2 linked regions of the Caenorhabditis elegans genome follow. The protein of the gene in region 1 purifies or fractionates together with the protein of each later gene. This does not show direct contact. Each region holds a gene or a part of one and is shown on either strand. Other genes may lie near its edges. The genes, in order: sql-1 and trp-4.

What was found.
Region 2: the proteins of sql-1 (region 1) and trp-4 fractionate together in Caenorhabditis elegans (co-fractionation; one large-scale study listed by BioGRID). This does not show direct contact.

The regions. Positions count from the first base shown.
Region 1 is NC_003281.10:12,497,533-12,502,721, reverse strand, and holds the start of sql-1 (GRIP domain-containing protein), read right to left. Parts: upstream 3,166-5,189; 5' UTR 3,160-3,165; coding exon 3,034-3,159; intron 2,925-3,033; coding exon 2,736-2,924; intron 1,689-2,735; coding exon 1,389-1,688; intron 1-1,388. Other genes in the region: herd-1 (Edg1 TPR repeats region domain-containing protein), read right to left, coding at 3,700-3,734, 3,788-4,009, 4,067-4,253, 4,326-5,189.
Region 2 is NC_003279.8:13,897,232-13,902,393, reverse strand, and holds the start of trp-4 (Ion transport domain-containing protein), read right to left. Parts: upstream 3,310-5,162; 5' UTR 3,226-3,309; coding exon 3,085-3,225; intron 179-3,084; coding exon 36-178; intron 1-35.

The sequences.
Region 1 (5,189 bases):
TCGGTTCTTTTCAGGTTTCAATTGAGGTTTGTGTGCGGATTTTGCTTAGTTTAGTACACAATGTAAGAAAACAAAAAAAAGTTTGGAAAAAAATCCGTCCAAAAAAATTTTTTTTTGTCGGTCGTCAAGAAATCTTCAAAACATTTTTTTTCGAAAATTCTCGATTTTTTATACAAAAATGATGTAACCATGTGCAAACTATTTTTACACATACAAAACATTTGAGTATGAAATTTGGATCTCGAGAAATACTCCAAAAACTCGAAAATTTTTCGAAAAAGCTGTGTTTTCTGTTATTGGTTTAGTGTGACGCAATAAATTGAAATGTTTTGTATGTGTAAAAATAGTTTGCACATGGTTACATCATTTTTGTATAAAAAATCGAGAATTTTCGAAAAAAAATTTTTTGAAGATTTCTTGACGACCGACAAAAAAAATTTTTTTGGACGGATTTTTTTCCAAACTTTTTTTTTGTTTTCTTACATTGTGTTTTAAACAAAGCAAAATCCGCACACAAACCTCAATTGAAACCTGAAAAGAACCGAGATCAGAAAAATGCCTGAAAAAATTGGCTCCGAGTTAGGGCACTTGGGGTGGTCAAAAACTTTTGTGACTATTGTCAAATGAAAGATCATGGTTGATAACATAAATTCCCACAGTTTCATAAAAATCGATACACAGCGAACAAAGTTATGATTTTTGACCCGGAACTTATTTGGAGACCTAATAAAAAAAATACAAACGACCAATTTTGCCACCAGAGACGCCACGCTTGTGATAACCGTGTGTATGGGATGAATATTTTTAAAATCTATTTTTTTAAATCAAATTTTCACAATGATTTTCCGGATTTTTAAATATTTATTTTACATTGAAATTTGAAATTCTTGTGACTTTTCTAAAAAAATAAATTTTTTTTCTTTTCATTAGCAAAATTTATCGCCTAAATTTTGAATTTTTTACACTAGGTAGCCAATAAACTTTCGGATTAAAAAAAATTAATATAAAATCAGGGAATTTTTTTTTTTGAATTTTTTCACATCGATATTCAGAATCCGGAGAATAATTAGGGTATAAATATAGAAAAATTCCGTTAATTTTGACAATTTTTTTTTTTTAATTTTTTCACATCGATATTCAGAATCCGGAGAATAATTAGGGTATAAATATAGAAAAATTCCGTTAATTTTGACAATTTTTTTTAAAATTTTTTTTTTCAACCGAAAAGCGAAAATAATTTGTTTTTTGTTTTTTTTTTGGCCTAAAAATCACAAAATCACAAAAAAAAAACAATTTTTTAATTTAAAAAAGAGCATTTTTCAGCCAAATTCACAATTTCTTCTCGATGATTTTTCTCTCTTTTTCCGCCGCCAAAATTCCATCCTCACCTGCATTGCGGCAATCTTTTCCTCATACATTTCTCTCATTTCAAGTACATTTTCAGCGTGTGACTCGACAAGTGACTGAATTTCGTGCTCTTTCTGTTGCCGGAGAGCTTCGATTCGTTTTTCTAACTCTGATAATTTGATCATTTCTTCTTCTTCTTTTTCACCGCCGCCGCCGCCGTCTCCAGATTTCTCTTCAGCAAGTGATTTCCAGTGTGAAACTTGCTTTTTGAGCTCACAAATCTGATCAATATCTGATGTAGACTCATTCCAGCCGGATTCTTGGAGTTGCTCCATTTGGGTCTGCAAAAATTGTTGGGGATTTTTTAACAAAAAAGCAGCGTCGCCGCACAGAAAAATAGGCGGAGCCTAATTCGCAAGCCTGCGGCACGATTTTTTTTTCAAATTACGGTTTTATTGTTAGAAAAAGAATCAATTTTCAAAAATCAGTGAAAAACCCGTGCCGCAGAGTTGCGAAATTAGGCTCCGCCTTTTTTCTGTGCGGCGCCGCTTTTTTTTGCAAAATTAACGGGAAAATATGAGAAAATTATTTTAAAAATTGAAAACTACATTTTGAATCGATAGGCACTTTTTAAGCTTAGAAAATGAATTTTTCGGAATTTTTTAACGAAAAAGCAGCGTCGCCGCACAGAAAAATAGGCGGAGCTTAATTTTGCAAGCTTGCGGCGCGGTTTTTCCTCATTTTTATTGATTTTTTTCGAACTTCGTTTTTATTGCTAGAAAAAATATAAATGTTTAAAAAAATGTTTAAAAATCAGTGGAAAGCCCGTGCCGCAGAATTGCAAAATTAGGCTCCACCTTTTTTCTGTGCGGCGCCGCTTTTATTTGCAAAATTAACGGAAAAAAATGAGAAAAAAATGATTTTAAAAATTAAAAACAGCAATTTTGAATCAAAAATTAATGTAGAAACATGGAAAATATGTATTTTCGTTGAAAAATTTCGAAAATTACCTCAAAAAGTGGCCTGAACGATGCCGTTTGCAGAATAAAAGTACTTTTAGTCACTTTTTAAGGGAATTCTCGAATTTTTCATTAATTTTCAACTCTAAAAGCTGGCTGCAAGACGGAAAAATAAGTTTTATTGGCCAAAATTTTTAAATATAAGAAAAAAAGAGCTTCTTTTTCGATTTTTTGCGCCAAAATTTATCAATTTTCGCTATTTTTTGGGCAATTTGGAGCTAAAAAAAATACTTTTTTCTCCAAAATTTTTCAATTTTAACTATTTTTCTTCAATATTCGATTTTTTCGGGTAATTTGTTTCCAATTTTAGCTATTTTTTGGGTAATTTTGTGCAAAAAAACGCGAAATTTTCCATTTTTTCAGGTGCACCTTCAACTTTTTAATCTCATCATCTCTCTGCTTAACCATTCCGTTGAATTTCGCCCCAATCGCGTCCATTTCGACATGAGCATCATACAGCTGCTGCTCCAAATGGCTCTTTTCGTTTCCAAGAAGTTCGACACGCGAAGTTTCGATTGCAAGTTGCTTTTCGGCTTCAGCTGCCTTTTTTTTAGCTACCTGGAAGTTTTTTTTGGTTTAAAAAATTGATTTTTTATTTAAAATTCGAGTTTTTTAACTGAATTTTTCCAATTTTTAACAATTTTAACTTAAAATTAATAATTCTCACAATAATCTCTCCATCAGGATCTTGAACTTCTTCTGTGGCCTCTGCCAACACATCATTCGCCTCATTTAGCACTTCATTTGCCAAATCTGTTAATTGTCCTTGAATATTTCGTAACCATCCGCTCATTACTGGAAAAAAGCAACGTTTTTTTCTCAAAAATCAATAAAATCAAGGGATAAATATCGCATTAAAAGTGGATCTTTTCTTCAGGTTTCTCTCCTATCGCGTGTCGTGTGTGAAAACACGTGAATTGACGCGCAATTGCACACTCTAACAATATTCACAAAAGTTTCAGAACATATTTCTAAATAAATACCAGAGGCCAAATCTTGTCGTTTTTTTTTAATTTAAAAAATTCATTGAAAAGGAAATGGCCTCATGGAGCACCATTGAGTTAAAATGTTCACGTTGAGGAAGAAACCTCAACGTTAACATATTCCTAGGAAAAAATCGGGAAAAATTATTTAAAAAATTCCGAGGGTAATTATTTAAAAAATTCCGAGGGTAACAACAAAAAGAATACGGTGACTTAGGGCCACAACTCAGTGAAAAAGGGGTAAAACCATGCGAAATACATTTTACAACAAAAATCAGGAACGAAAAATTGAAAACAAAAGAACAAAAATAAAATGAACGTTTTAAACATTCCAGGGGCGATCAGTCGGCTTAACGGAACCCGTTCGTAGAGCTGCCATGCGCTCCTACAAAAATTATAATTAAAACAAAACATATTGGCTTTCTTTTAAAAACATACTTGATGTGGACGAGTTCATGCGAGATCCGCCAAAAAATGGACGATTGCCTGGGGACGCTGGTCGGGTCCAGTGGTCCATATTTCTCTCGCTTTCCGCCCACAAATTGCGATGAAGTTGAGCCATTTCCAAAGATTTGGTTAATGCAACTTGCTTGCGAACTTCACGTTCATGTCGTGCAGAGTTACGAGATCCATTGATTTCATTTGGTTTATAACGGTATTCTGCAAGAAATCAGAATTATTTACGAAATAATCGATAATTTAGTATCATTTTCCTACCAGTTGGCGGCCAGCGTTCCATAGATGTTTTGTCTGGAATGATGACCAGAGGCTGAATGATTTCCGATTTCTTTAAATCCTGAGTGCATCTTGGTCCAGTGTCCTCATATTTTTCTGTTGGAATGACCTCAATGAGCGAAGAAGCGATACGGTCGTGGTCCGATTCCGACGAGCTTGGAGCGAAAACCTGGAAATATAGAAATTCAGAAATGGCCGATTTTCAGAAATTAATTTTATTGAAAAATCAAAAAAAAATTACCTCCAAAATCTTCGCACAAATCTCTCTGATACGCTGTGGGCCGGCTTTTGCGATCTCGAAGTTCTCCTCAAACGCCTTCTTCATAACTTTCTCCAGCTGTTCCGTGGATTCAAACGTGACTGAGCTGTGACACATGAGCTCGTTGGCGCACGAGACGTCGAACACTCCCATCGTGATGATATAATCGAGGTATTCCGTGAGAACTTCGAGTGGATCTTCAAAAACTGAGATGTTTTGATCAGTTTCCAGTGGGATTTCCTCGAATATCTCTGCGACCAACGCGGATTTACAGCTTTTCTCATCTTCTACAGTTTCTGCTGACATTGGGCTCAGATTCAGCTCATTCATCTTCAAATTATCAACAGCGGTGCCTGATTTATCGCCAATCGATATCGCCGTCTTCACTGAAGATTGAGATGATGGAGACGAGCATCGTTCTGCGTCTCCTTTATTGTCCGATTGACCAAAAATTCCGCTTCTTTCGTCGAATGTCTCCTCAATTGCTCCATTGACTGCTTTGTAGATCGCTGATGGAATGCGTCGCTTCTCAACTTCCAGTGACTTGAACCACGTTGAACATGCGAATTCTACGGGCCACGGGAATTTTCTCAAAACCTCAGAAGTCAAGTAGCTCTTCGCTTCATCATCGAATGGCTGCTTCATGGATTGACCAATCGCCTTGAGAATCATTTTACAGTTTTCAATGACTGTATTCGAAACGTTCGCGTCATCAATAGTGTTGAGCAAGAAACAAATGATCGAGGGAGTCAAGAGAACTTTGTCAGCTGGCTTAGATCTCGCCGACGTGGCATACTCCAAATTATCGAAGTTTTCGACAATTTTTGCAGCAATCTCGCTCAAAAC
Region 2 (5,162 bases), on another chromosome or scaffold:
GGTACGGTAGGTAGGCACAGAACCAAAAATCTTACCTGATAAACCTCCCGGACTCTGTCCTATGTGCCGTGTGCTCTGTCTCATGTGTGGTTGATGTGGAAGATGTGGGTCCTCCGCGTTCTGGGACATTTACAATTGATACATGAGATGGACCAGGTTGGGAGGTGTGGGGATTCATCTGGAAATTGGAAATTGGAATTTCAGGAGAAATCCAAAAATCGTAGGTACTATCATTTTTTTTAGTTTTCAGTAAATTGTCTTATGTCTCGGTTAGTATTGAAGATATCGATTTACCGTAAATTACAAGTTTGTAGACAATTTAAATTTACATATTTTGTTAATTGCCAATTTATTGATAAAACAATTGAAAACTGAGATATGAACCGATAAAGTTAAGTAGTGTGCTTCCGGTCGATGCACCATGTTTGATATCTTCTCTTTGGCAAATGGTATCTTGGTTTAAATTAAAGATATCAAAAAGTTTTTAACTACAATGTTAACAAAAATTTAATGATAAATGTTTTGTCAGTTGAAAGCTTTCTTATAAAACCAACGGCAATTGAGATATGAGCCTATAAAGTTAAGTGGTGTATTACCAGTCGATGCACTATGTTTTTTATGCTTACTTTGGCGCATGATATCTCGGTTAAAATCAAAGATATCAAAAAGATTTTAACTACAAAGTTATAGTAAATGTAAAAATACATATTTTACCAGTTGACAACTTTTTGAAAACACCACAAACAACTGAGAGATAAGCTTTCGAAGTTGTTTCAAAAAATGATCAAAAAATTTTTTTTCGACAAAATTTTTTTTTTTAATTTTTAATTTTTATTACTGATTGTGTGGGTTGCTGTATCAAAGGAAATTCCAAATTTAATATTTTTAATTTCATGAGAAATAATTAGTGTACTTTGTAATGTGACCTAACTTCCTGCAATTCTGGATTCCCGACCCCTAACAATTTCCAAATATCCTCTCTAATGTTCCATTTAAAGTAATATACTACTTTCTCTTCTTCTCATTCTTTGTGTGTAGCTATGTCTTGAAGCAATTATTCATGTACCTCTGTCCCCCCAGGTTGCTCTCGTATCCGTTTTTCAAAGAAATACACGGCCTGAGATTTCCGGACCTTTTTTCTTTTTTTTTGTGTATGTGTTGCCAATACCCAAAAAATGTGTATATTAAGAGATACGATGTTTGGTGTGGTCATGTGTACTTATACTACTCTTTTGGGAGGTCTTATGAACCCAAAGATACTGGAAAAAAGGAAATTGAGCACTTTTTTCTGGAAGCGAGTAGGTATTGTGTTTTTTGGGGATTAGTAATCGGTTTTGGTGCAAGTGCAGAAAATTTGAATTTGACACTAAAAAAAAGAGAAGATTTCAAGCTTTGGAGCAAAAATGAGTACTGCTCACGAAAACCGACACAACTTTGGAGCCCTGGTACCCTCAAATAATTTAAATATGTTTTCTGGAAAAGGACATTTTCTGCATGTTTTTGATAACTTTATAAAAAAAATCTACATCATTTTTAAGCTAGAAATTTAGGGTTTTTGCTGTAAATTTTGAATTTCCACTAAAAATTCGAAAATTACGGTTATTTTTTTTGGAATTTAAGGGAGCAATGAACATTTTTATGTGTATTTTCTTATGGACAATAGTTTGATTAACACAATTGTTGAGTTTCAGCAAATTTGATGGGAAAAAACATTTTGGCCAAAAATTCCAAATTTCCAAAAAAAAAATTTTTTTTCGGAATTCTTCAAACTCACTAAATAAGTATAAGACAACATTTTGAGAATATTTTTGAAAAAAAAATGACAAAAATTTCGCCTAAAAATTCGATCGAAGTTCTGCAATAAATTTTGATTTTCCACTGAAAATTAGGAAAAGTACAGCTGATTTTTTAGGAGTTTAAGAGAACAATGTACATTTTTATGTGTAATTTCTTATGAGCAATAGTTTAATTAACAAAGTAAGCGACTTTTAACAAAAATTTTGTAAAATGTTTTTTTTCTTATGGACAATAGTTTAGAGGAGTTTCAAAATTGGGAATTTTTGCTATAAATTGGCTATTTTTGCCACTTTTTCGTAGGTTTTGACGGGTTAAACCTAGTTTTTCTGAATTCTGCATATATGAATTACCCGTTTTCAACAAATTTAGACAACTTTTATTTTTGCCCATTTTCATTTTTCAGCCATCTAATGACTGTCCTTTTTTGTTTTGGGCCAAAAAAAAATGTTTTTTTCGAATATGTATAAAACCATCAAATTCTAAAAAAGGACAATGTTTTAGCAAAATTTTTGGATAAAAAATTTTGGACCAGAAATTTCAAATTTTATTTTCGAAAAAAAATTTGAATTTTCTTCAGAACCATCTGAAACTCACTAAACATGCTCTTAACTATAATTTCAGTAATAAAATACAAGCTTAGTACACCCCTGAAAAACACAAAGAATCTCATAAATTTCAGTGCAAAATCGAAAATTTTGGGTAAAAACTTTTCGGTAAAAATTTCTCAAAAACCAAACCCAAGATGTCTCTGAAAATTCACCAAAAACTATTTTCAGTGATCATGATTGATATTAGTAATTAAAAAATTTTGAATATTCACTCCTTGTGAGTGCAAAATACCATAGAACTTTGTGTTTCTAAAATTTCTACGGGGAAGTGGTACAGTCGAACAAACCTCCCCAAAAACTAGTCGAAAACCCCAGGAATTTGGATTAAAAATTGATTTTGAATATTCAAAACTCTAGATAATCTGAAAAAGGGCAAATTTTTAAGTGTTTACAGATCAAATTTTAGTCCTCTAACTGCAAAATTGCCCATTTTAGAGGAGTTTCAAAATTGTGAATTTTTGCCATAAATTGGCCATTTTTGCCACTTTCTAATGGTTTTTAACGGGTTAAACCAAGATTTTCTGAATTCTCCATATATGCTTTACCCGTTTTCAACACTTTTAACTTTCTAGTAGTGTCTAAGATTTTTTTTTGGAAAAAAAATTTTGCTCGAAAAAATTTTTTTTTCAAGAAACAAAAAATTGTTTTTTTATTATTTTCATATCAAACTTAGGCAAACCTGAGTCCTCCTGGATCCACCGTAATCCCTGTTCATCTGCCGTACGGGTACCTGATCCATATCAACATCATTTTCTTGCCTAGTCGATTGTGATGCTTCTCGTAAAGCTCTTCCCAGGATTCCGCCACGTGGCGAATCCATAACCGGGGTAATGTATAATGCTATTAATAGTAGTAGTATTATTAAGATATGATGATTTATTTTGAGGAGCCGAGGAATTTTGCTGAAAATTGGAGATTTTGAAGAGGCTGGGGGAAAAGATTTAAAAAAATGAAAAAAAAAGAATTGCGAAATACTATAGTAAAAAAGTTTTTAATGGTTTCTATGGAAACATTGATTTTTTTTAGGAAATAGGTATAAATTTAAAAAGGATCTACTGTGAGGATACTGTAGGATTACTGTAGTCTAGGAGATGGATGTAATTTTAAAACAAAGAATTCTTAATTACTGTGAGAAAATTTTGCAAAATATACGAAAATTCAAACTCCCCAAAATTTGAAAAATAATTGCTGTTGCATTTCCAGGCAAAATTTAAAAAAAAATTAAATTTGAATATCCGCCAAAATGTTTCTGAGACAATTTGAACTTCCCGCCAAAAAATTTTTCTCATAAAATTCCAGTTTCCCGGCAAAAATTTTTAGAAACAAAATTTTGAATTCCCGCCAAGAAATTATAAGAGAACATTTTAATTTCCCGGGGTATCAACTATTCAGACTCCGCCCCACAAAAGGGGCGTGGGGTGTGTGACGTCACACAACTTGTGACGTCAAAGACTACAAACTACAAACAGACACATTTTTCTAGGTCGGCAAAAAAAAACTTAAAGCAAGAATATTCTTAAAATTATATATTTTAACTAGTTTTTTGAGAAAATTTTAATTTCCGGCGACTTATTAGGCTCCGCCCACAAAAAGGCATAAAACACTAAAGTAATCTTTTTAAAAAAATGTTCTCAGAAAATTCGAATTTCCCGCCAAAATTATTTTACTGAAAAATTAGAATTTTTGGCTCCGCTCCTATTTAGGCTCCGCCCACAAAAAAAAAACATAAAAAACTAAAGTTATCATTTAGAAAACTTTTTTCAGAAAATTCGAATTTTCGCAAAAATATTTTACTGAAAAATTTGGATGTTAGGCTCCGCACCTAATTGGGATCCGCCCACAAAAAGGCATAAAACACTAAAGTTATCTTTTAAACAATTTCTCAGAAAATTTGAATTTCCGCAAAAATGTTTTACTGAAAAATTTGAATTTTACAAGGGAAGTCGAAAAACTGAACCCCGGACTTTGGCATGACATAGTATTTTTTTGATAAAAGAGTGAAAATAATGATCCCTCCAAAAAATTTAGCTGCCCCGGTCCAGGTTTAGCAAAGTTATGACGTTTTGAAAGTGCCGAAAAAAATTCCTTGACCCTAGCAAAACCCTAGCAAAAAAAACTCAAATTTTCAAAAAAAATTTTTTTTCCAAAAATTGATAAAAACTATTGTAACTTATCCAAAAATGTAAAAAACATATATCATGCACATTTTTTCTTCCCACGGACAAAAAACCACATTGCTTGATCTACATATCTTGAGCAAAATTCCAAAAATTACTTTTTCTTGTAGGTTAATTTATGGGTTTTCTTGAGAGTTATGAGCTAAAACTTTCATGGCATATGTTTTTCACTGAGTTCAATTATTTGCAAATATTTTTTCCACTTTTCAGAAAAAAAGTTTTTTTTTTGAAATTTTAAAAATTTTTTTAAAAAGGTTGTCTAGCCACTTTCAAAACGTCATAACTTTGCTGAACCTGGACCGGGGCAGCTAAATTTTTTGGAGAGATCATTATTTTCACTCTTTTATCGAAAAATTACTATGGCATGTCAAAGTCCGGGGTTCAGTTTTTCGACTTCCCTTGTTAGGCTCCGCCCACAAAAAAGTATGAAACACTAAAGTTTTTTGAAAAAAAAAAATTCTCAGAAAATTGAATTCCCGCCAAACAGTTTTATCAGGAAAATTTGAATTTTAGTCTCCGCCCCTAAGTAGGCTCCGCCCACAAAAAGGCTTCTATAAAAAGAATAATAAATCTCCAAAAA